2 linked regions of the Kluyveromyces lactis genome follow. The protein of the gene in region 1 interacts with the protein of each later gene in a pairwise test. Links are inferred from orthologs where the notes say so. Each region holds a gene or a part of one and is shown in the gene's direction. Other genes may lie near its edges.

Evidence for each region. The genes of interacting proteins can lie anywhere in the genome.
Region 2: the proteins of FTR1 (region 1) and KLLA0_F04323g interact in a protein complementation assay, tested with the Saccharomyces cerevisiae proteins (2 studies listed by BioGRID). The link is inferred for Kluyveromyces lactis from reciprocal best matches to the Saccharomyces cerevisiae genes FTR1 and PST2.

What each region holds. Positions count from the first base shown.
Region 1 is NC_006037.1:260,717-272,915, forward strand, and holds FTR1 (high-affinity iron permease FTR1), read left to right. Parts: upstream 1-6,200; coding exon 6,201-7,361; downstream 7,362-12,199. Other genes in the region: RSC4 (Rsc4p), read left to right, coding at 1-1,590; REC8 (Rec8p), read right to left, coding at 1,724-3,640; FAR7 (Far7p), read left to right, coding at 4,069-4,677; CUP2 (Cup2p), read left to right, coding at 8,837-10,540; DNA-dependent ATPase RAD54, read right to left, coding at 10,800-12,199. UniProt on the Saccharomyces cerevisiae protein: Permease for high affinity iron uptake.
Region 2 is NC_006042.1:405,456-415,168, forward strand, and holds KLLA0_F04323g (uncharacterized protein), read left to right. Parts: upstream 1-5,687; coding exon 5,688-6,284; downstream 6,285-9,713. Other genes in the region: KLLA0_F04257g (uncharacterized protein), read right to left, coding at 1-1,002; KLLA0_F04279g (MATE family efflux transporter), read left to right, coding at 2,056-3,507; KLLA0_F04301g (regucalcin), read left to right, coding at 3,976-4,992; RPI1 (protein phosphatase regulator REG1), read left to right, coding at 7,705-9,713.

The sequences.
Region 1 (12,199 bases):
GGAAAACGTCCTAGAAGCGGCGCTCTACCCAAAGTGGATTATGTGCACCCTTTGGATCCTACAGAAGAGCTCATTGTAGATCTAGATTGGACTATTCCTAAGTTGAATTTGTTCATCGCATTTACTTTGGATAATTTAGTTGAAGCTCACAAGGCTTTATTCAAACACTTTATCAAACTACCCAGTAGGAAGTTTCATCCACAGTACTATTACAAAATTGATCAACCGATCTCTATTAACGAAATTAAAAGCAGGGATTACGAATATAGTGGTGGGGAAACCAAGTTCTTATTGGATTGTGAACTGATCTACAAGAACTGTCTTGCATATAACGATCCAGATTCTCTTATTGTTAAAAATGCGAAACAAGTGGTATATTTCATCAAAAATGAAGTGTTGAAAGTAAAAAATGCTACAAGAAATTTCTTGGTTAACGATGATGTGAAGACACGTTTCATAGCAATCTTTGACACTTTACTCAATGTAACAGATAAACAGATGGCAGAAATCTTAGCAGAAGATGATGACGTAAAATTAGAAGCGGCTTCTAACAACAACTTGGATGACACTTTAAACATATGCCAACCGTTCCTTGAATTGGTAGATAAAGATGAGTATCCAGAATATGAAGAAGTGATTCGTTTACCTAACTCATTGAACTTGGTGAAAAATAACTTAGAACTTGGATACTATCACAAAATCTACGATTTCATTACCGATGTTAATTTGACGTTTCAAAACGCATTGGTTTTCAATGACGAAGATACTACAATATATAGCGATGCATTGAAGCTGATGAAATGTTTTAGTGTATTGATCCAAAGAAGGTTCTTCCCTGAATTAGAAACTGCTAGAGAAAAAGGAGAAATCACGCTGGAATACGACAAAATTGAATATAAACAGTTCGTACAAGAAGAAGAAGAGGAAGAACCAATTCTTTCTGATGATGATGAAACTAACGAAGAATACAATTATATAGAGGGACTAGGAAATGGATATAATCGAGGCCCAATGTCTAGAGATTACCTTTTGGGACCATCAAAAACAAGTAAAACTGCAGACTCGAAAGTTGAAAACAATGAACCAGATAAACCACTTCCCTTGAAATTTAACATCCTTCCTGTTATAAAAAAGCACAACATTGAACCAAAGACAGAGCCAGTGCCTTATAAAGTGATAGAAAAGATTCAGATTTCTTCTTCTAGAAGTTTTTATGAACAATCAATACGACCACTGAAGGGACTGTATCAGAATTCCGACAATATCACTTGGTTCGAATACATATTCGCAGATGGTGCCCTCACCCAAACCAGCCACGAATATGCTATTACACTACCACCAAAACAAAATTCAATTACTGTGGTTTCACAATTAAGCTCTCCTGTTTCAGAAGATAGCCCTGCAGTTTTGATAGCAAACAAGGATAAAGTAAACCCAATACCAGTATTAGATGGGGATAAATTCGACGAAAGTAAAGCAAGATACGATATCAAGTTGGCAGAAGGTCTGAACACTGTTACTTTCTCTGTAAGAGATTCAGAGAACGACCGTTTGGAAACAGCCAAATTCTGGATTAGTGTATTACCTTAGTTAGCTATTATGTAGCTCCAGTGTAATATATGAAGACTATAAATTTACTCAAAAAATGGGGCTTGAAAGAAGAATCACTCTCAAGAGAACCGAACGTCAGTTATTAAAAAAAAAACACTCTCACTCGATCCAGTTAGCAATATACAATGATATCATCTCCATTTAGTACCCTGAACACCTTTTCAGGCTCTACATTATAAAGATCAATTTTCAACTTGCTCGAAGTAGCCAATTGTAAAAGCGACAAAAAGGCATTACAGGCAATTCTTTTAGTAACAGGTATAATCTCTTCATCTTCTTCCTGACTTAACTTACTTGGGATAATATCTTCAAAAAGGAATTTTCTGGAATAACCTGGGAAAGCGGCAGTTCTTTTACCTATGTGTTGTCCTCTCTCAACAATATATTGAAAGAATTTTTCTGTCTGCTTATCATGCACGATAAGCTGCTGTTGATTTTCATTAAATGTCTGTGGAATTGAATCTGATCCTGAAAGGTAGTCCGCAGAACCGCTGTCTCCTCTTATCGCTCCTCTTCTTCGATTTGGATATCCTCTTAAGTTTTCGAGATTGTCTGAATTGGCAGTATAGTTTCTGTTTGTGCTTCTACCAAAACTTGAGGGAGGGATATCAAGTTCCATAAATTGGGGATCATCCATTGGCATGTCCATATACTCAGGATACTCGTTTATTTGTTCAGGTAAGTTGTGAAGATGAATCCTGTTGGAATCACCACTACTGGATACGTTCGAAAAGTCCATTCTTCTTCCATGTTCTAAACTCAAAACGCTGCTAGATCTAGACGTATCTCCTGCAGAGTGCATTACTCTTCCTCTTCTACCTTGCGGAAAATTGATAGAGCTCAATGGTTGGAAGAGTTCAGAGTAAAAATTTAGCATCTGCCTTGGCCGATCTTCATCAGTAAACAATTCTTTCCAGTCAGAGATCATAGGTTTTGATTTTGACGATCTACGGGCATGTAAATCTCTCATAATGTCCTTGTAATTTTCATGATTGTAGCGCAATGTATCTGTTAATAAGCCAATCGTACTATCAACCTTGATCTTTTGGAACCAATTAGCCACCGTTCTTCGCTTTTTATTTTTTGTGCTTTTGGCGTTTACTTCTACTTCGTTTAATGTATTCCCGTCTTCATCTTCATCTTCATTGTCGAGACCTAATCTTCTTTTCATTTGTTGCAAATGTGGATTAGAAGTTTCTGTTTCATCAAGCACTGGCATACCAAGATCTATTCCATGAGTCGCATCGTTATCGTAATTCAGACCAAGGTCACTGTGCACTGAACTTAAATTAGCGGTCTCTGCTTCATTGTCAGTTAATACTTCGTCGAGTCTGAAATTCAATTCTACGTCAATGGGAGCCAAATCATCATCCTCATATTCGTCAGCATCACCATTAATATGAAAATCATGACCACTATTTACCGTATTACCTCTTGATCTTGCATTCAAATACGGCTCGTTACCAATTTCCATTTCTCTCCACATGTCGTCCTGCCTGATTGCCTGCTTATCGGCAAGTACTGGAGCCCTTGTTGAATTGGTCAAAATTTGTCTGTCATTTGTATTATTATTTCCGTTAAGGAGGAAATCCAAATTGTTGTCCATCTTCAATTGCATCATCATATCAAAATTTGGATCATCCTGCAAGAAATTATCACCAGTTTCAGTGATGACTTGGTTCTGTACCATTTTTGTTTTGTTATGACCACCGGAACCACCAGTACTTTTCCCCAGAGGTTTCAAACCTATCCATTGTCTTTGCAATGCGTCTCTCAAGCTGGTAACATCTGCTAAAATGAATCCAGTCTTCCGTTCATAGCACACTGTGACACCGTATAACAACTGTCCAGTATGGCGTAAAGGCATCGATACTTGCCCAGATGCTAATATTTGGCAAGCATGAGGAATGGAAACTTTGACTATCTCTCTTTTCTTCACATTCACTGAGTGGGACGCTCCCAAACTGGATAACAACCACACTGTTGCAATGTTCTGATCTTGGGCTATTCTGACTCCCACCTCTGCCATTATGTGAACGAGTTTCCTAGCAACAATAACCTGTTTAGAACTCTGTGTATTGACATACACATCGATATAGTTTTACTCATAAATATTAATGAGAAGTAACAACTAACGAACTTTAAGAAATAAGGAGCACTTTTTATTTTATTATCAATTTAGCCGCCGAGCGTCCTCTGAATCGTTTCAAGATGCAACGCGTATAAAACGATTCAGAGGTCACGTGATCAATATGGATAGCATTCCATTTTCTTTATTCTCTCGACTTCTGTTTCTGCATACAATAATGTCTAATAGCAGTAATCAAGAACAATAAAATAAGGAAAATGTAAAAGAACAGAGGCAAATACACGGCTATTCCTCGATATCTGTTAAGATAATTCTCTCAGTTTGTACAGTAACCAACCGCATATCTCAATAGCAAACCAACAATAATCATGGAAAGCGGCAAAGACGCTGAAAATCAGCCTGTATTGTTCATGGGAGCACAAACTGAAAATTTAGATTACATGTATGAACTAGTGCATGAACTTTCCGCCCAATTGAAAACGAACGAAAATATGAGAGATGCTGTTTTGCAGGATGTGGACCTTCTATCCAGGCAGTTGAACCATGGCAATGTGGACGTATCACCGGACATCAATGTCACAAAGCAATTTATATACAAAAGGTTGAAAGACGAGGAACTCTCAATTCAGGATGAAGAAGAAGAAGATGGGAATGAAGAGGACAACATGTTACATCACGTGACCAAACAAAACGAACAGTTGAAAGAAATCTTAAAGAACCAACAAAGGCGCAATGCTGTAGCACTTCAAGCTCTACGACACCACGACGAAGGATTGGAAATATGCGTGACAATGTTACGAAATGAAATCTACAGTTACCACGTGACCGTACTATCACGGTCCCGAGATCTTATAGAAAATCAGCTATACAAAGCGGAAGATTCCCAATTCAATCAATACCTAGAGTCTGTGACGGACTTACAGCAGCTTCTAGACCTTTGTAAACTTTACAGAACACTTCTAAGAGCGCACCCGTAAATCAAGTAAAGCAGTAGAAAGAAAGAAAAAAAAAAAAAAACTAAGAAATGCTAAGGCAGGACAAGAAAAGAATATGAAACTAGGCAAAGGGTAGGGGATGGGATATGAGGAAAGTTAATGAGGAACTATAATGACACCATTAACAAGATATACACAGAGTGTTATGGGGCAAGTGGGAAAATGTCAATCGGGAAAGAGCTAGAACGAGCCTAATCAAAAGAAATTTGTGGGTTTCGGAATATTGAATGAGATTGTATGAGCCCTAGCTATTCTCGTTACTTTTTTACTGGGTATGCAGATGATATGAAGCGGTACCATCTATCTATCTGTAGTAATAACGTACCTCAAAGCTAGATTGTAATTTATTCTATCACACTCATACTTTTTTCCAAAGTTTTTTTCATGGCAAAAATTGGTTATTGGCCAACGGAAAATGCCAAGAGGTCAAGTCAGTACTTCGGAAGTAACATCATATACAGAAATCCATGCAGTGAAGAAGCCTTATGCGCTTATTCTCAGGAGAAATGGGAAAGAAAGGAAATGAAAATCACATCAATTTAGATTGTAACATATACACCCTATACTACGCTTTCAGATAGGATTTAATTTTCCTGCCATACTTTTCCTCAACTAGAACTCTTACACCTGATTTCATAACCAAGACTGTATTTGACGCAGGATGGGTATATCTCTTCCTCTCTCCATTCCCTTTAATAATCAGTACCATACCATTGCTTTTTTTTTCGTCTTCCGCTTCAGTAATGGAAACACTGTTGAAGCCAAATTAATCCAATCCGTTATACCTTTCCAATTTCAACTATCCTTTCTAAGTGGAAACTTATACCATTTTTTGTGTTTTTTTGCCTAGACATCTATTCCATTCTTTACCCAATTTTTTCCCTTCATAGTTTTTCCCACTACGGATTTCTTGGTACTGTCAGTTTACTGGCCGTATGGGTATTATTTGGGCAAAGTCTAAAATATTGAACCTAAAACGTATTATCTAGTCCACACATAGCCCTGTACTTTGATAGCCTGTTATTTGAGTAACATCTCGATTTGTAGCGGTGTAGGAATTTTGCTAGCTGAAAATGCTAAAAACCACCAATTGCAATGCTGCTTGCGGTTCTATCCTCGACATTTACAGTTTTGTATGTGGAATTGGAATTGACAAAAAAAAAACACCGAAAAAGCCAAGACCTCAAGAGCAGGGGAAGGGTGCATGTACCAAGGTGTAATATTGGAAGATGATAAAGTTTTGGGTGCATAAATCATATTTTTCAGGGAAGGTTTCTGTCACCTTCATTCGATATTGAATGGTTCAGAATATATAAGTATGCGAAACTGGACCCCATGTTGATGTTTTTGTTTGTCTCCTCAGGTGTTAATATTCCATCGCATGCGATGTGGAAGGTTATGTTATGAACATATTTTTGATGCTTTTTGATATGTGTTGTAATTTGATTTTATCAGAATACAACTATAACATCCGTAAATTCTGAACAAACTACAACCAATCAGTCATGGCTGCTAACAAGGTTTTCAACGTTGCTGTGTTCTTCGTTGTGTTCAGAGAATGTTTAGAAGCAGCGGTGATTGTTTCCGTGTTGCTTTCTTTCTTGAAACAATCCATCGGTTCTAATGATATGGCCACTTATAAAAGGTTGAGAATGCATGTCTGGATCGGTGTTGTTGCTGGTTTCATCATTTGTATGGCCATTGGTGGTGGTTTCATTGGTGCTTACTACCGTTACGAAAATGATATTTTCGGTTCTGCTGAAGATTTATGGGAAGGTGTCTTCTGTATCATCGCTACCTTAATGATTTCTGTCATGGGTATTGCTATGTTAAGAGTCAACAAGATGCAAGCCAAATGGAGAGTTAAGATTGCCAAGGCCATGCTTGAAGTTCCAAAGGACAGACGTAAGAAATGGAGTCTTAAATACTGGGCTACCAGATATTCTATGTTTTTGTTGCCATTTATCACTGTTTTGAGAGAAGGTTTGGAAGCCGTCGTGTTCGTTGCTGGTGCCGGTATTACCACCAAGGATTCCAAGGCCACTGCGTACCCATTGCCTGTCGTCATTGGGTTAATTGCTGGTATCATCGTAGGTACTTTGTTGTACTACGGTACTTCTAAGTCATCTCTACAAATCTTCTTGGTCATTTCTACTTGTGTTCTTTACTTGATTGCTTCCGGGTTGTTCTCCAGAGGTGTGTGGTACTTCGATAACTATTACTTCAACAAGAAGACCGGTGGTGACGCATCCGAATCCGGTGATGGTAACGGGTCCTATAACATCTTAAGAACCGTGTACCACGTTAACTGTTGTAACCCGGAATTGGACAACGGTTGGGATATCTTCAACTCGTTGTTGGGCTGGCAAAACACTGGTTATTTGTCATCCATCCTTGCTTACAACTTGTACTGGTTGGTCTTAATGATTGTTATCGGACTAATGATGTACGAAGAAAGAAATGGCCATTTACCATTCTGTAAGAATCTAAAACTGAGACAATTGAAGCCAAGCTACTATTTAAAACGTAAGCAGAACGAAGAGTTGACCGCTGCTGAACAAGAGGAATTGTTCAAACAAGTCAACAATTTGGGCGTCGACGAAGAAGGTAACGTCGTCGTTAACAAAGGTGACACTACCAAAGTCAACGTCGAACTCGTGAAATAAGTGGGTCACTACTAATTTTCACTAGTTCTTTTATCAGAAGTATGTACACCTGTAAACAATCAAATATAATGTAAAGTATCTTTTGGTTTATCGATTAGCAAGTTAACTGCATAGTTGCCAGTTGGGTAAAACTCTATATTCATCTGGGAAATGGAAGCAACAAATATTTATCAGTTGGGAACCCTGATGACTACTGAACGAAAACCGGCTTAGACCACCTCCCCTCTCTCCTGAATCGTGTAACAATTCCTCTTACAATGGCGTGTGTACGTCTCCGCACCTTGCCCAACGCTGTTAGTACAGAGTATAATGATGTATGTGTCGTCCTACCCTTACCATCCGAATAAGACAGAAGAACGCAGCTTGACGAGGTGCCTCTCGAAGCATGTCGAAATGAAATTTCTTTTTCTAATTTCCGGTGCACATTGGCGGAGAAGACACTGCACAACACTTGAAATTCCTGTACGAATGGAAGAGTCTTGAAGGCTTTAAAATCATTACCCGCAAACAGCTGTTCACATACATATACGGACATATCAAACATTCTTATCAAACAGAATACATATATATATATATATATATATATATATATATAGATCTGCAATAATCGGAGCTGAAAGACTTATTTCCTACCCTGATTGAGCTCTACATCCCGCTATACCATTAAACATAGATAGCTTTCAGCGTTTCAAAACTGCTTTTTTCCACTTTCCTAATTAGACCTAAGATAATCAAGCTACTACATACCGAACTTCTTCTTTGTTGTCTTAATACCTTTTTTTCTTTTGGAAAAAATTATAGGAAAAAAAAAATTGAAAAGAGAAGTACTGTAAGTATTCCTCAATTGCCTTCGTTACTCATAAGGTTTAAGAATTAACGGCTGGTATACAGGAATAACTCGGTATCCATATTACTTGTGTTGTACCATTTGACGCTATTTTCTGAAAGAATCTGCTACGAATACTTCTCCTTCCCAACTTTACTCACTGTACTTGTATTTGATTTGATGTGTACTGAAATTTTACAGAGACATTACTTACTAGGTTTAAAAATTTCAACAGAACTTTTAAAGGTCAAATTTTGAGAGATAAAAAAAAGATACTATATATCAGTGTTTTTGACTAGTATTTGAGGAGATTGATAGAGAAACTGCTGTCTCTGGCTTATTCTGTTCACGTTCTCAGTATCCAACCCCCAATTATAAGGCTGAATATCTTCCTTTTTTTCTTTCTCTTCTCTTTCTGGTAGGATTTTTAGTCAGACAACGGCTTAATCAACTTTAAGGAAAGAAAAAGAAAACACACATATTGGAGTGACCTAATCTAATTCATTTGTCTTAATATTCACACTCCCTAATTGTCATTTTCATTGTCCCTTTGCTGGCTTCTTACTGCTGACTTTTGAAGCTTTTTTTGTGGTTATTATTCACTGAAGACAGCACAGACACATTCTGTATCGCATTCAAATAGCACACAATGGTTCTTATCAACGGTGTGAAATATGCCTGTGAAAGGTGTATTAGAGGACACAGAGTGACTACATGTAACCATACAGATCAGCCGTTGACTATGATTAAACCGAAAGGTAGGCCGTCAACGACTTGTGCTCATTGTAAAGAACTACGGAAGAACAGGAATGCGAATCCATCGGGCCAATGCACTTGTGGGCGACAAGAGAAGAAACGGATCGCACAGAAGGCAAGAGAAGAATCGGGATGTGTTTGTAAGAATGATCCGGATCACTGCCCGTGTCATAAGAAGCGTGCGCCAAGAAGGAAAAAACAATCACATCAAGGCAATTCCGCTGTAGGACTGGATATCAATGGTAAAATATCAAAACATACTAATAGCGGATATTCACACCAATCTCTACATTCTCTGGATTCGTCACATTCTGTCGATCAGGATTTATCGAACTTCCTGGCGTCTCCGATCTCTATGAATACAAGCTTTTCCACTGGCTGGGATAATGCGTCGCTGTCAAGTTCTAATCGGTCTCCACCTGGTAACGGACCGGATAGTAAAAATACAATCGGATTAGAACCTCTAAGTACCATGAAACCTATCACACCCAAGACGAGGACTAAAGTCGGTGAAGTTTTCATTCCGCTTACGGAATACGTCCCAACGAATATTGCTTCTTCAGAGGACCAAGCCGATCACATCAATCCACTTCTCATGGGAGAGCACGTATCTATCTACAATGACGTCTCTGCAGATGCCCCAAATGTGACGTATTTCGCGGATACTTCGAAATCTTTGAGTTATAATCAGTTGAAAGAGCAACGGAAGGCTCTTAGCGAACAACATTTGCGTAACAATGTAGATAACATTTCAAAGAGTGGATCAACCCAACGCGTTCCACTCTCAGTCGCTGGCCGTTCATCTTCTTTTGTGTCAAATATATCTTCTCATGACTCCGTGGCATCATCAAACAATGATTTCATTAGTTCATTAAACAGTTCGGATTCTCTGTCTTCTATGCTTCATAGTGGTAACGCTCATCACTACCAGGATATGCTTCATCATTCTAATAATGGACGCGGATATCTTAACCCTGTTCAAGTGGACCAATCTCAAAATGTATATGGCTTTGATACGGACAGCGTACGAAGCGTCGAAGTTCTATCTATAACTCCTAGCTTTATGGATATTCCGGAATCAAAGCCACCGAGTATCGGTTCAAACTCATCTACAAATCCATTTATAAGTTGGAAGAGCGTCAATTCTAGAAGGGAACGTTCCGTTAGTATACACAAAAATCATCGTTATGACAATGAGAATAAAAGGAAGAGACATCCGAAAAATGTACCCAACACTTCTACGCCACAAATCAAGTCTATGGTTTCACCAGCAGAAACTAACAGCACAGCACTTCCGGCATCTGGTAATCATTTCAACTCACCAGCGGATTCCACCAATACAGTTCTAAGTGCTAATACACAGTACGGAGATCCATCCGTATTCAGCATCGAGAAGGTCGGAGTAGCGCCATCCTTTGTAGAACCGTCATTCACCACTGACTTCAACCAGGCACTGAAACAATCAAATATGGTGAACCAAAACATCATCGATAACAACTCTCTGTTCAGTGGCACTAGTGAAGGTAATAACCCCTCTCCTAACGACCTGTTCCCCGTTGAATTCGCAGACATTGATGATTTGATGACACACTTATAATTCTTAAACTACCTTATTCTAGGGTAAGTACATATGTTCATGTAACTCTATTCAAACATACTCGTAATAAAATTAGCTTTAATATGGAAATCCATATTCAAACTGTATTTATATAAATTAGGATCGGCTCAAAGATCTCGAAAACTTGAGTTGCCTCTTCATATTAACCGAGTTATCTGTTCCGAACCGCCCAGAAACCGAATTTATTAATGCGTCTATATAGTAGTGAAATTAAAATGTACTTTAAAAAAATGAAAGATCAATGCGATATATATTGAAATGCAAAACTGATGTCTTTGTGATTGAATTCATTTTTCAAGAGATGGTCGTTTGTTTTTGCTAATGCATCGTGATTCAAATGATTCCACGAAGTCGCGTCACCGTATAGCATTACCGGAGCTTTCAAAATTTGCTTTCCATTCTTACAGCGTTTACAATTATATGTCTCATGGGTATCACATATGGTTTTTGTATCAAGTTTGAACAATTGCTTCAAATTATCCGAACTGAACAATCGTTCAACATCCTCCTTTTCATCCACAACACATGAACTCAAACTCATCTTCATCGATTGTCTTTGGAAAATCTTCTCTTCAATGGTACCAGTACTAATGAATCTGTAGATAAAACAATCTTTCTTTTGCCCATCTCTCCAAACTCTAGCCAAAGCTTGTTGATCTGCAGCCGGGTTCCAATCTGGATCTAATAAAATCAATCTGTTGGCACCAATCAAGTTTATACCGCAACCACCGGCCTTGGAACTTAACAAAAATATAAACTCTTGTCCCTCCGGATCATTGAACCGGTCCACTAACTTTTGTCTTTTATTGATGTTCATGGTACCATCCAATCTCAATACGCCATAGTGGTTACTAAAACACATTTTTTCAATCAAGTCTAGCGTCTGGGTATAGTTTGAAATCAACACAATCTTGTCGTTAGACTCCGTTTTAATTTTGTACAAAAATCTTGCCAAGACCGAAAACTTACTGGAAAAAGCTGTCTGAATAACGCTTCTATTTCTTGAAGTGCGGGAGTCAACAGAAGATTGATAATCGTCGGGTATTAACTCTTCTGAACCCGGAATGTCTTCAGATAGCTCTAATAAGTCTGGATGGTTACATAATTTTTTTAACAAACCGATTGCCTTCAACGGTTGGTTACTATCCCCTTTAACGATCTTCTTAACAGCTCTTGATTCAATGAAATGCTGATATAGAGATTGCTGAAATGGTGTTAAATTTATGAATATAACATGCTCGTATTTGCAAGGTAGATATTTTGCCAAAATATTGTTGGTACGCCTGATAATGAACTTCGAGACAATGTTTGAAAGTTGTCTCAACCTATCCTTACCCAAAGTGACCTCTTCATCTGTAGCCAATGAATCTCTACTCTGTAAAATCGGTAATTCGAAGTTTTTCCTAAAGTCATTTCTGGAACCCAACAATCCGGGATTTGAGAAATTTAATAATGCAAAATACTCCGATAAATCATTTTGAATCGGAGTTCCCGATAGAATAACTCTTCTCGGACACCTAATGGAATCCAATGCCGTGAATGTTAAGGAATCTGCATTCTTCAAACGATGCCCCTCATCTGCTAACATTAGTCCAACCTCACAGTTCTTTAACTGTTCGACATTACGCCTTAAAGTGT
Region 2 (9,713 bases), on another chromosome or scaffold:
CGTTAAGGACCCATATGCAGGGGTGGTCATGTATTCATTACCGATATAATAGTACATTACAGCACCTGTTATTGAATAGATGACAACTTCGATTGCAGTGACAAGCAAGAACACCTTCTTGAAATCCCTCGGTCTTTTCATTTCTGAGATGAACTGTGGATAAGTGACTTGAGCAGCGAAAACGTACACAATGTTCAAAAATGCACCCATTGCATCTACATAACTTGTGCCCTTCTGTGGCCATAAACTGAATGTCAAATGAGTACCATCATAACCAACCGGGTGATCCTGGATTCCTACAAAGATGATAGCCAGTATTACCGAAATGAACATGGTAATAGCTGAGAAGTATGCAACTTTAGACATAGAGGCGAAGGTTCTTGGGATAGAAAACACAAAAGAAATGATTGCGGTAATGACACCAAATGCAACAGTACAGGTAGAGTGATTTGTGATGGTATTAAGGTACTTACCACCGACTAAGACATGCACACCCTGGATAAGGGTATTGTTGGCAACGTAACAAACAGCAGTTGCATACCATGCAAAATTACTTCCCCAAAATAAATGCTGTCCGATGTCACACGCATTTTTAAGATGAGGGAACTTTTCGCAGTAGTCTAAAATGATAAAACTGGTGTATAACACAACACCAGCAACAAACACCGTTAAAATAAGACCCGGTATTAAACCTAATACTGAATAGGACCATGGGAAAGACATCATGGCTAAGATGATGTATTCTGATAACATTAGACCTGTAATATGCTGCCATGAACTAGTCTTGTATTTAATCTGATGACCTTCTTCATCGCTTTCTTCAAAAGCATCACGGTAAGATAGGCTAGTATCATCACCGTACTGTTCAAATTCACCATCTTCCACATCGTGATTCTTGACGCTGGGTGTCTTGATCATCGTCTTATCCACCTCATAATTGTAAAAGGTCTTCCCACTCTCAGAGCCCTCAGGCTTACTTCCAAATGAACTCATCTCGATCATTATAATAGCTTGATTGCCGTAACTTTCTGTCACTTATAGGTGAAAGAGGGGAGATATTGGAAGATAGACGGTAGATTGGCCTTAAAGAGAAGAAATGTAGGTATTCTTACTTGATTTTTTCTAGCGATTCTTACTCCGATTGTGGTTGATTTGAGTCTTGAACCGGATGTTATCAAGTCTTGACAAGTAAGGTTGAGCTGAATATGGATTGTTAGTGTTAATGTTTTCCGGTATTATATTATACATTTATTAGCAGCTCGAGATGAAGGAAACATGCATGAAGCTCATCGACCAAGTGATTAGCTTGCCTATTTTATATGAAATATCGTTTTCCTTCAATCCTTTATCTCCCATGCATTCCTAAAGAGAGATAAAGTGGAGAGATTAACGTTAAGCACCTGCTTGCTATCTAGTTTGGAGTAACAGTTCATGATGTGTATTAAAGCCAGGATCTGCTATCAACAGCGACCTCAAGTTTTAAGTTTTTAGATTTCATCACAAAGCAAAATGATACCTAATATGGAAATATTTTGCGTGAATGTGAGAATTGTATTCCGAACCATTTTAGACTTTTTTATACCTCGACGATCTGCATGATCAGTGGAATTTCTCTGTTTATCTGCACGATAAGAAGAATAGCTATTCTGTTTTGTCGGCGCATTAGTGCCTGATTTCGATACCCCATTCGGGCCACTTTGTGTGGATGTTCTTTACTCAGTGAAGTGCCATATCAAGTCATTTCCCTTTATGGTGATGAAAAAAAAAAGGATTGGTACGTAAATTTGATGTCTGCTCTTGATGTTTGGTTTTATTTAAAGGAAGGATGAAGAAGTAATCACATTGTTATCTTTTACCGTTAGCCAGTAGTTCTGTAACGGCGTCTTTCATCGATATTTCATCGCTGGTCGCTGTTCTAGAGAAACGATGAAGCAATAGTGTAATATCGGTATTACTCTTATATTTAATACGTTCTTCAAATTGTGATAGAAAGTATCAGGATTGCCTGCCAAGAAAGCTTCTAGAGATACAAATAGAGTCTTTAAATATTTATGAATGGTACCAGGTGAAGACTCTTCATTAATTGCCCATAGAGGAGGCGATAGCGGATACAATACAGTGGAATCCTTGAAAAAGGATGGGGAAACGAGCTTAGAGTATGAGTTCTGGTATATGACTAAGACCTCCATCCCATTAATCATTACGTTTCTCTTGCAATGTTCATTATCGTCCTCAGCTTTGGTTTTCGCTGGAAGGGTTGGGACTTTAGAAGTTGGAGGGATTTCGATCGGAAATGTCACTTTCGCGGTCACTTCGGCTATATTTATCGGTATTGCAACATGTTTGGATACGGTTTGTCCTCAAGCGTATGGTGCAGGTAAGTACAACATGGTGGGACTGTATTTCCAAAGAGGTGTTGCCATTTCTTTCCTATTTGCCGTTCCGGTAATTGCATTTTGGTATAATTCAGAGTACGTTTTATCGTTTCTAGTGGAGGACGCTGACGTTGTCCATATCGCCGCTGTTTATTTGCGTATCATGATTCTTAGTCTTCCCGGCTATATCATATTCGAATGTGGTAAGAAGTACTTACAAGCTCAGGGAGATTTCGTAACTGGACAAAACATTCTGTTTGTCTGTGCACCATTGAACATATTGTTGAATTATTTATTTGTTCTAAAGTACAAATTTGGCTACATCGGATCTCCAATTTCTATGGTGCTGTCTTATACTCTTATGGGGCTCACAATTGTTGCATACATCTGTCGTCAAATATATTTTGGTAATTCTTCCTGCTGGCATCCGATAACTGGGAATTTCTCGGCAATTTTCAAGAATTGGGGTCCCCTTATTGCTTTAGCGCTACCAGGTTTGATCATGATCGAAGCTGAGTTTTTTGCTTTCGAGATCATCACTGTTTTAAGCGCGAAATTCGGAACGGAAGTCTTAGCTGCACAAAGTATTGTAGCGACCTTACAAACGTTTTTCTTCCAATTACCCTTCAGCTGCAGTGTGGCTGCTTCCAATAGAATTGCCTATCACATTGGTTCTGGAATCACGGAAAACTGCAAGACAGCGACGAAAGCAACTATGTTTGGGGTTGGTCCTGCTGCAGGAATAATAAATTTCACAGTGTTGTACTTCGGTCGTTACAAGTTATGTTCTTTGTTTAATGCGGACCCGGTTTTGGTAAATAAAGCTGCAGGATTACTCTGTGTCGTCGCATTAAATCAAATATATGATTGCTTCAATGTCATGGCTGCAGGTGTCTTGAGAGCTCAGGGAAGACAACGAATCGGTGGGTATTTAAACATAATGGCGTACTATCTAGTTGGGCTTGAAGTCGGTATTTTATTAGCGTTCAAATTCAAAATGGAAGTGCTCGGGTTCTGGATAGGTATCGGGGTAGGTGTCCTCTTCCTAGCTATTGGCGAGAACTATTTCGTTTACATATCAAACTGGAGAAATATTATTAGCAAATCGCAAGACCTACGCCATGAAGCGTGATCATTGACAGATTATACTGTTTTTTAAATACAGATCAAAAAAAATCAGAGAAAATATTCTAGTTCACTAGCAATTATTTAACTGGGCCTTGTATTTACATATATAGGTAAGGATACGTTCTTCTTAAGAAACTTCTTCGTGTTGATTATCATATTAGGCCGGAACTAATTATTGCCTGTTTTTCCGTTTTTCCGTTTTTTCCGATTCCTTCGTTGTTTTCCTTCAGCCAGAAACTCCAACAAAGATGCAAACATCTTCTCAAAATAAGGGTATATATAAGTGGTAAAAGAATCATGCAATTGAATAAGAATAAGAATTCGCTAATGAAAGAAATTGATCGGATATAATTAGAGTTTGACCATTCGGAAGAGAGTGTTTTTCAAATTGATTGTATTCTCTTCTCAGTGTGAGCGAGAACCATAGTCGAAAAGTGCATTGAGCCTGTCAAGAAAAATTATAAAGAAAGCAATGACCGAAGTAACGGAAACTGTTCATAAGAATGGACCATACTATTTCGATAGTAAGATCAGACTATCAGAGGGTATCAGCTATGCAGCTGAATCCAAGGCGCTCTTCTGGATTGATATCTACAATGCCTACATCCATAGAGTGACTGATATTGACGATATTTCAACTCATACTGTATGGCATGCATCAGTTGATAACTATGAGGGCTTGTACCCATTTACTACTGATCTACCAGAACGTATTGGAGCTATTTTCCCAATTGATAGAGCAGATGGTGTTGAAGAGGTTTATTTCGGTGCTAAATATGGGATTGCCAGAATGAATTACACCACTTTGAGATGGCAATACTTGGTTCACTATAGTGACAGCGGATTGCAGAAGGATTGGACAGGTTTACGATCCAACGATGGGAACGTCTCTCCAGATGGAGAAATATTCATCGGTATTATGAACGATTTCCATTGTACTGTTGATTCAGAGGACCCAAAGGGCGCACTACTAAAAGTGAACCTCCGTGAAAACATATGTGAGTTGGTAATAGATAAATTGATGATTCCCAATGCAATCAATTGGAGCCAGGATGGTACAACGGTATATTTCACTGATTCTCTAAACTTCTCGATTTACAAGTATCCGTACCAAGACAAAAATCTCATCGTGGAGGACAAGGCATTATTCATTGATATTAAGAAGTTCAATTCCCAATTCGATTCACCTGAACCTGACGGCAGTTTCATCGATCCCGATACGCACAATATCATCACAGCGGTATGGTCTACGAGTACGGTGCAAAGGTACGATACCAAAGGAGATCTAATCCACAAATGGACGTTCCCAGAGACCAATCGAATCTCTGCATGTACCTTGGCCCAAGGTCACATGTTTGTTACCACAGCAAACGAAATCATTGAAGATAACGCAAGTCCAGAGGGCCTTGGTGGATCCATCTTTAAAGTAGAGAATGTCTCGACTTATATGGGGTCCTCAAAGAGGAACCCGATTACGGCAGAGCATTAGAAGCCCTTATGATGCACGTGACATGTAAGGAGTTTGCGTTTTCAATCCCGTGATCCCCAGTTTTTCAATTTATCATATTTTACTAAGTATTAACAAACTACTGACAAAGCACTGACAAAGAATTTATAAACATAGAATAACTTATGAATGTTTATGGTTTATACGACAGCGAAACAACTATCAACTTACATAGTGTTTGTAACGTCTTAATTAAGGTGCCTTAATTGGCTGACTTTTCATTATGACAAATTATATTCGCATATTTGAGATTTATAAAATTTACTAATCTATAGCGTACTTTTGCCGTAATACTATATCTTCCTCTGAAGAAATTGAGAACAGGGTGATCAGAATTGCTCATATAGATTATTAAGTTTAAGTAAGGCTTATTGGCCCTACTTACTATGTCTATTATTAATTTTAGGTTATTGATTTGTACACCTACACCTTTTTCTGGGCCCCTTCGAACCTTTTTTTTTTTACAGTCTTCCCCTTTCTTACATGGATTGAAACTTTCAGTTTCAGGCACTATATAAATATAACTAAGGTAAAAAAGGAAATTAAGGAAGCCTTCTGCAGTTAAAGGGTTCAATTATAATAAGTTTAGTAGCTACAATTCTTTCCATCTCTTTCCTGAAAACCTCGAGAATTACTCATTCACTCACCCTAATATAACTCGGAATTATCTAACAAAAATGGCTAAGGTTGCTATTATCATTTATTCTATGTACGGCCATGTTGCTAAGACTGCCGAATACGAAAAGAAGGGTATCGAAGCTGCCGGTGGTTCAGCTGACATCTATCAAGTACCAGAAACTTTATCCGAAGAAGTCTTGAAGTTGATGCATGCTCCAGCCAAACCAGACTATCCAATTGCTTCTAAGGACACTTTGACGGAATATGATGCTTACTTGTTCGGTGTTCCAACTAGATTTGGTAACTTCCCAGCTCAATGGAAGGCTTTCTGGGATACCACTGGTGGTTTGTGGGCCAGCGGTGCCTTGCACGGTAAGGTTGCCGGTTTCTTTGTTTCTACCGGTACTGGTGGTGGTAACGAAATGACTATTGTCAACGCTTTGTCCACTTTAGCCCACCACGGTATCATTTACGTCCCATTGGGTTACAAAAACGTTTTCGGTGAATTGACAAACTTAGACGAAGCTCATGGTGGTTCTCCATGGGGTGCTGGTACCATTGCCGGTGCAGATGGTTCCAGAACACCATCTGACTTGGAATTGAAGGTTCACGAAATCCAAGGTAAGACTTTCTACGAAACTATCCAAAAGTTTTAGAATACAAAATACTCTCTCTATATGATACATAACAGTAAGATTTGGCAGATCCAGCATGTGCTTTGCACCGTGCCAGAGTACTAGAAAAAAAATATCAATCCGAAGTTTTCTGGCAGGTCTTCTGGCAAGCTTTTCGGCTTATATAACATGTATCCTACTGACATTCACGGTAACTGGTACTGTCAAATTTAATAAAAAGAGAGTAGATGCCCGCTCCGATCATGCAAGATGACTATATAATGTGTCTCGACATATGACAAGAATCGATGACACCACTATTGACTGAATCAGTGTATGGTATAGATCAAGGTAGAACTCATGTAAAATCCAGAACTGACCAAAGTGACAAAAATGAACAAAAAAAAAAAAAAATTTGTCCTGCTAAACAACGGATAATCCCTTGAAATTTAGTTGGCCCCTGGGCCAACTGAAATGTTCCAGTTCCCGTTTCATCTTCGACAAACTCAAAACGCTCCGCTACCGTGCGATTTTCTTTTCTCGCTATACATGTATAACTTGGGAAGTTAGAATTTCCAAAAATTGAAATGAATAATTAACTTGGAAACCAGCTCCATTAAAAAAAGCTAGGAGTTGTATTTCCTCAGTAAATTAATAAATTCAAACACAACAGAATATAGCGTCCGCCATACTAGGATCGGTTTATACTCTATTACCCTGTAACTTTACTTACATGTCTAAACACGGTCTGTTGTAAGACGTAAGCACCAAAGCGTCATAGACAAATTTTGCCTCCTTTTCGATCTTTTCTATTGAACAATACTGGCAAGCGGTACTCATTATTCTGTTTTCGTTTTTCTTTTTGGGAATTTAGTTTGGTTTCCTTTTCTTTTGGACTTTGGTTTGAGCTTTCAAATCCACTTTTTAAAAAGAACAAAGAACATATAGAACATATAGAACATATAGAATGTAAAGGTTTGGGGGAATAGGAAGAAGAGCAGGTTTAAGTGTGTATTCTGATTGCCTCGTTCGACGATTTTTGTTTTGTGCTAAGCATTTTCAGTGATAGTTACAATCTGCTTTAACAGAGAGAGAGTCCTTTATTTTTCCTGAAGCGATTTGTGGTATAAAGGAGAGTTAAACGATAGTGTGATTTTTCTATTTGGTCTACTTTCATTAGGCAAAATCAGATTTCTCACTATACTACTGTTGGACTGAAGGATAGCGTCTGATAACGCTTGATACCCTAGGCTTCTTTCGTTGTCTGGTTCTCAGTTTTATTTTATTTTATTATTCCATTAATTTTTTTGGATCGCAGGAATCACCTTCTACCATCCAAGCAGAGCTTACTTGATATAATTCAACCTAGCTTTTTTACTGCGTGATACACACGCGGTTGAACAAGACAGCAGAGTATAATATTCAGAAGGTTTTACCAGATAAACACAGCACGCTTTGCATTATGCAGAATAATTTAGCGGCGTATTTTGCTCAGGGGAATGCTTCTCAGGGGAATGCTACCCCGGGTAGAGTCGCATTGAACAGAAGCTCATCGAATGATGAATACGGAACAAGCAGTGTAAATAAACAAGTCCCAAATTACGACGATATGGGTCCTTCTGTGTCTATGGCGGTTCATGCTGATGACGACGACCATTTCAAGAATTCTACGTTCAATTTGAAAAGAACACGATCCATGGGACTGTTGGATCCATACATCGACGATACTCAGAAACTTCTGGCAGGTTCGAGCTCTGTTGATTCCGATAACTTCTCTAACAGTAACATCGATGGCTTGAGTAACGACCTCAATAGTGGTGACAGTAGCGGGAGCATGAATAATATTAACAACAACAACAACAACAACAACAACAACAACAACAACAACAACAACGACAACGAAAACAAAACTGATAATATCAATAAAAACAGTAATAATACTTCTTATAATGACGATAACGACGGTAATGATACTACGCTTAATGACACCGGGCTGAATAAACACAATACAACTGTTGGCGGAACCGACGAAGACTACACAGACGAAAACATGCAAGTCGATAACTACGACGATGACTACGAAGCAGATTACGATTACGACTACGACTACAAAGATGTAGAAGATTCTAATTCTCCTCCAGACCCGGGTACTGACGATTTCCTAATTCATCATGATGACAACGACTTGATGTATGAACCCAATAGACATGTGGATTACTTATCTCATAAATGGAACGAAAACGAAATATCTCAGTCATGGCGTTATATCATTTTGAAAAAGAAACGGAAGGACACAGATTTAATCAATGCTGCAAGGTTGGAAAATGCTTCCTGGAGAACTTGGTCAAAGGCTAGAAATAATCTGAAAACTGTGAATCCAGAATCTTTGAACTGGTCAAAGGATTCTGATGTAACTTGGTTATACGGTCCGATTGTAGTGGGCGATCAAAATAACTCGACGTCGTCATCAAAGCCCACTTCCAACGTTGAAATAGGAAACAATCATGCGGCCACCATGGGGTATGGTTCCGATGATGAAAATTCAAAAAGGTTGATCCAAAAGTCTCAGAGTCCCGGTCCTAAACCTATTCTAAAGAAGAGAACTGTTAGTGAAATTATCGAGGAAAACTCCAAATGGAGATTAGATATAGCAAGGCAGCACAGAAAGCAAACTAGTGACTTGCATGCTATTTTGGATCCGCAGTCAAGTCAGACAACGCATGACGATTATGATGCTATTGCCGCGAAGGTGAATGCACAATATTACAAAAATATCCATACACCGCCTGATGAATCGGTGGAATCTATTTCGCCCGTTGTGACCGAAACAAACTCGTCGATAGTAAATACCACTCCAGGTCCAATCTCTGGCTCTGTGATAGAAACCCCATCCGCAAGATCTGATCCTCCCATATTATCATCGATTCTTACATCATCGATGAAGCAAAAGCAAAAAAGGGAAAGACATATTCATTTCAATGACCGTGTCGAACAATGTATTGCGGTTAATCATAACCCCATAGACGCTAATCCTAATGATGACGAAGTCCCAATGACAAATACCGATTACCACTCTGACGATATGTCGGACGGTGCCAGATCTTCGCATCAGTATTCTGACTTTGACGATGGATATAGAAATTCAGGGGCCAACAGCGTCGAAGATTACGCCGATGACGAAGATGATGAAGACGCTGACAGCTACGATTATGATGAAGATGACGACGAAGATGACGAAGATGATGGGTTATTTATCAGTGCACATACTAGAAAAAATCGAACCAATTCGGGGGCTAGTGATGGCACAGATGTTGCAAATTCTTTAAGATCACTCTCACTATCCAAATTTCCAAACGCAACTATTAAACCACTTCCAGCCACTACTCTAAACTACGGATCTGACGATGAATATTATGATGAAGACGAAAATGAATGGTATTATGGTAACGCAGTATCACACAATGTGAATAC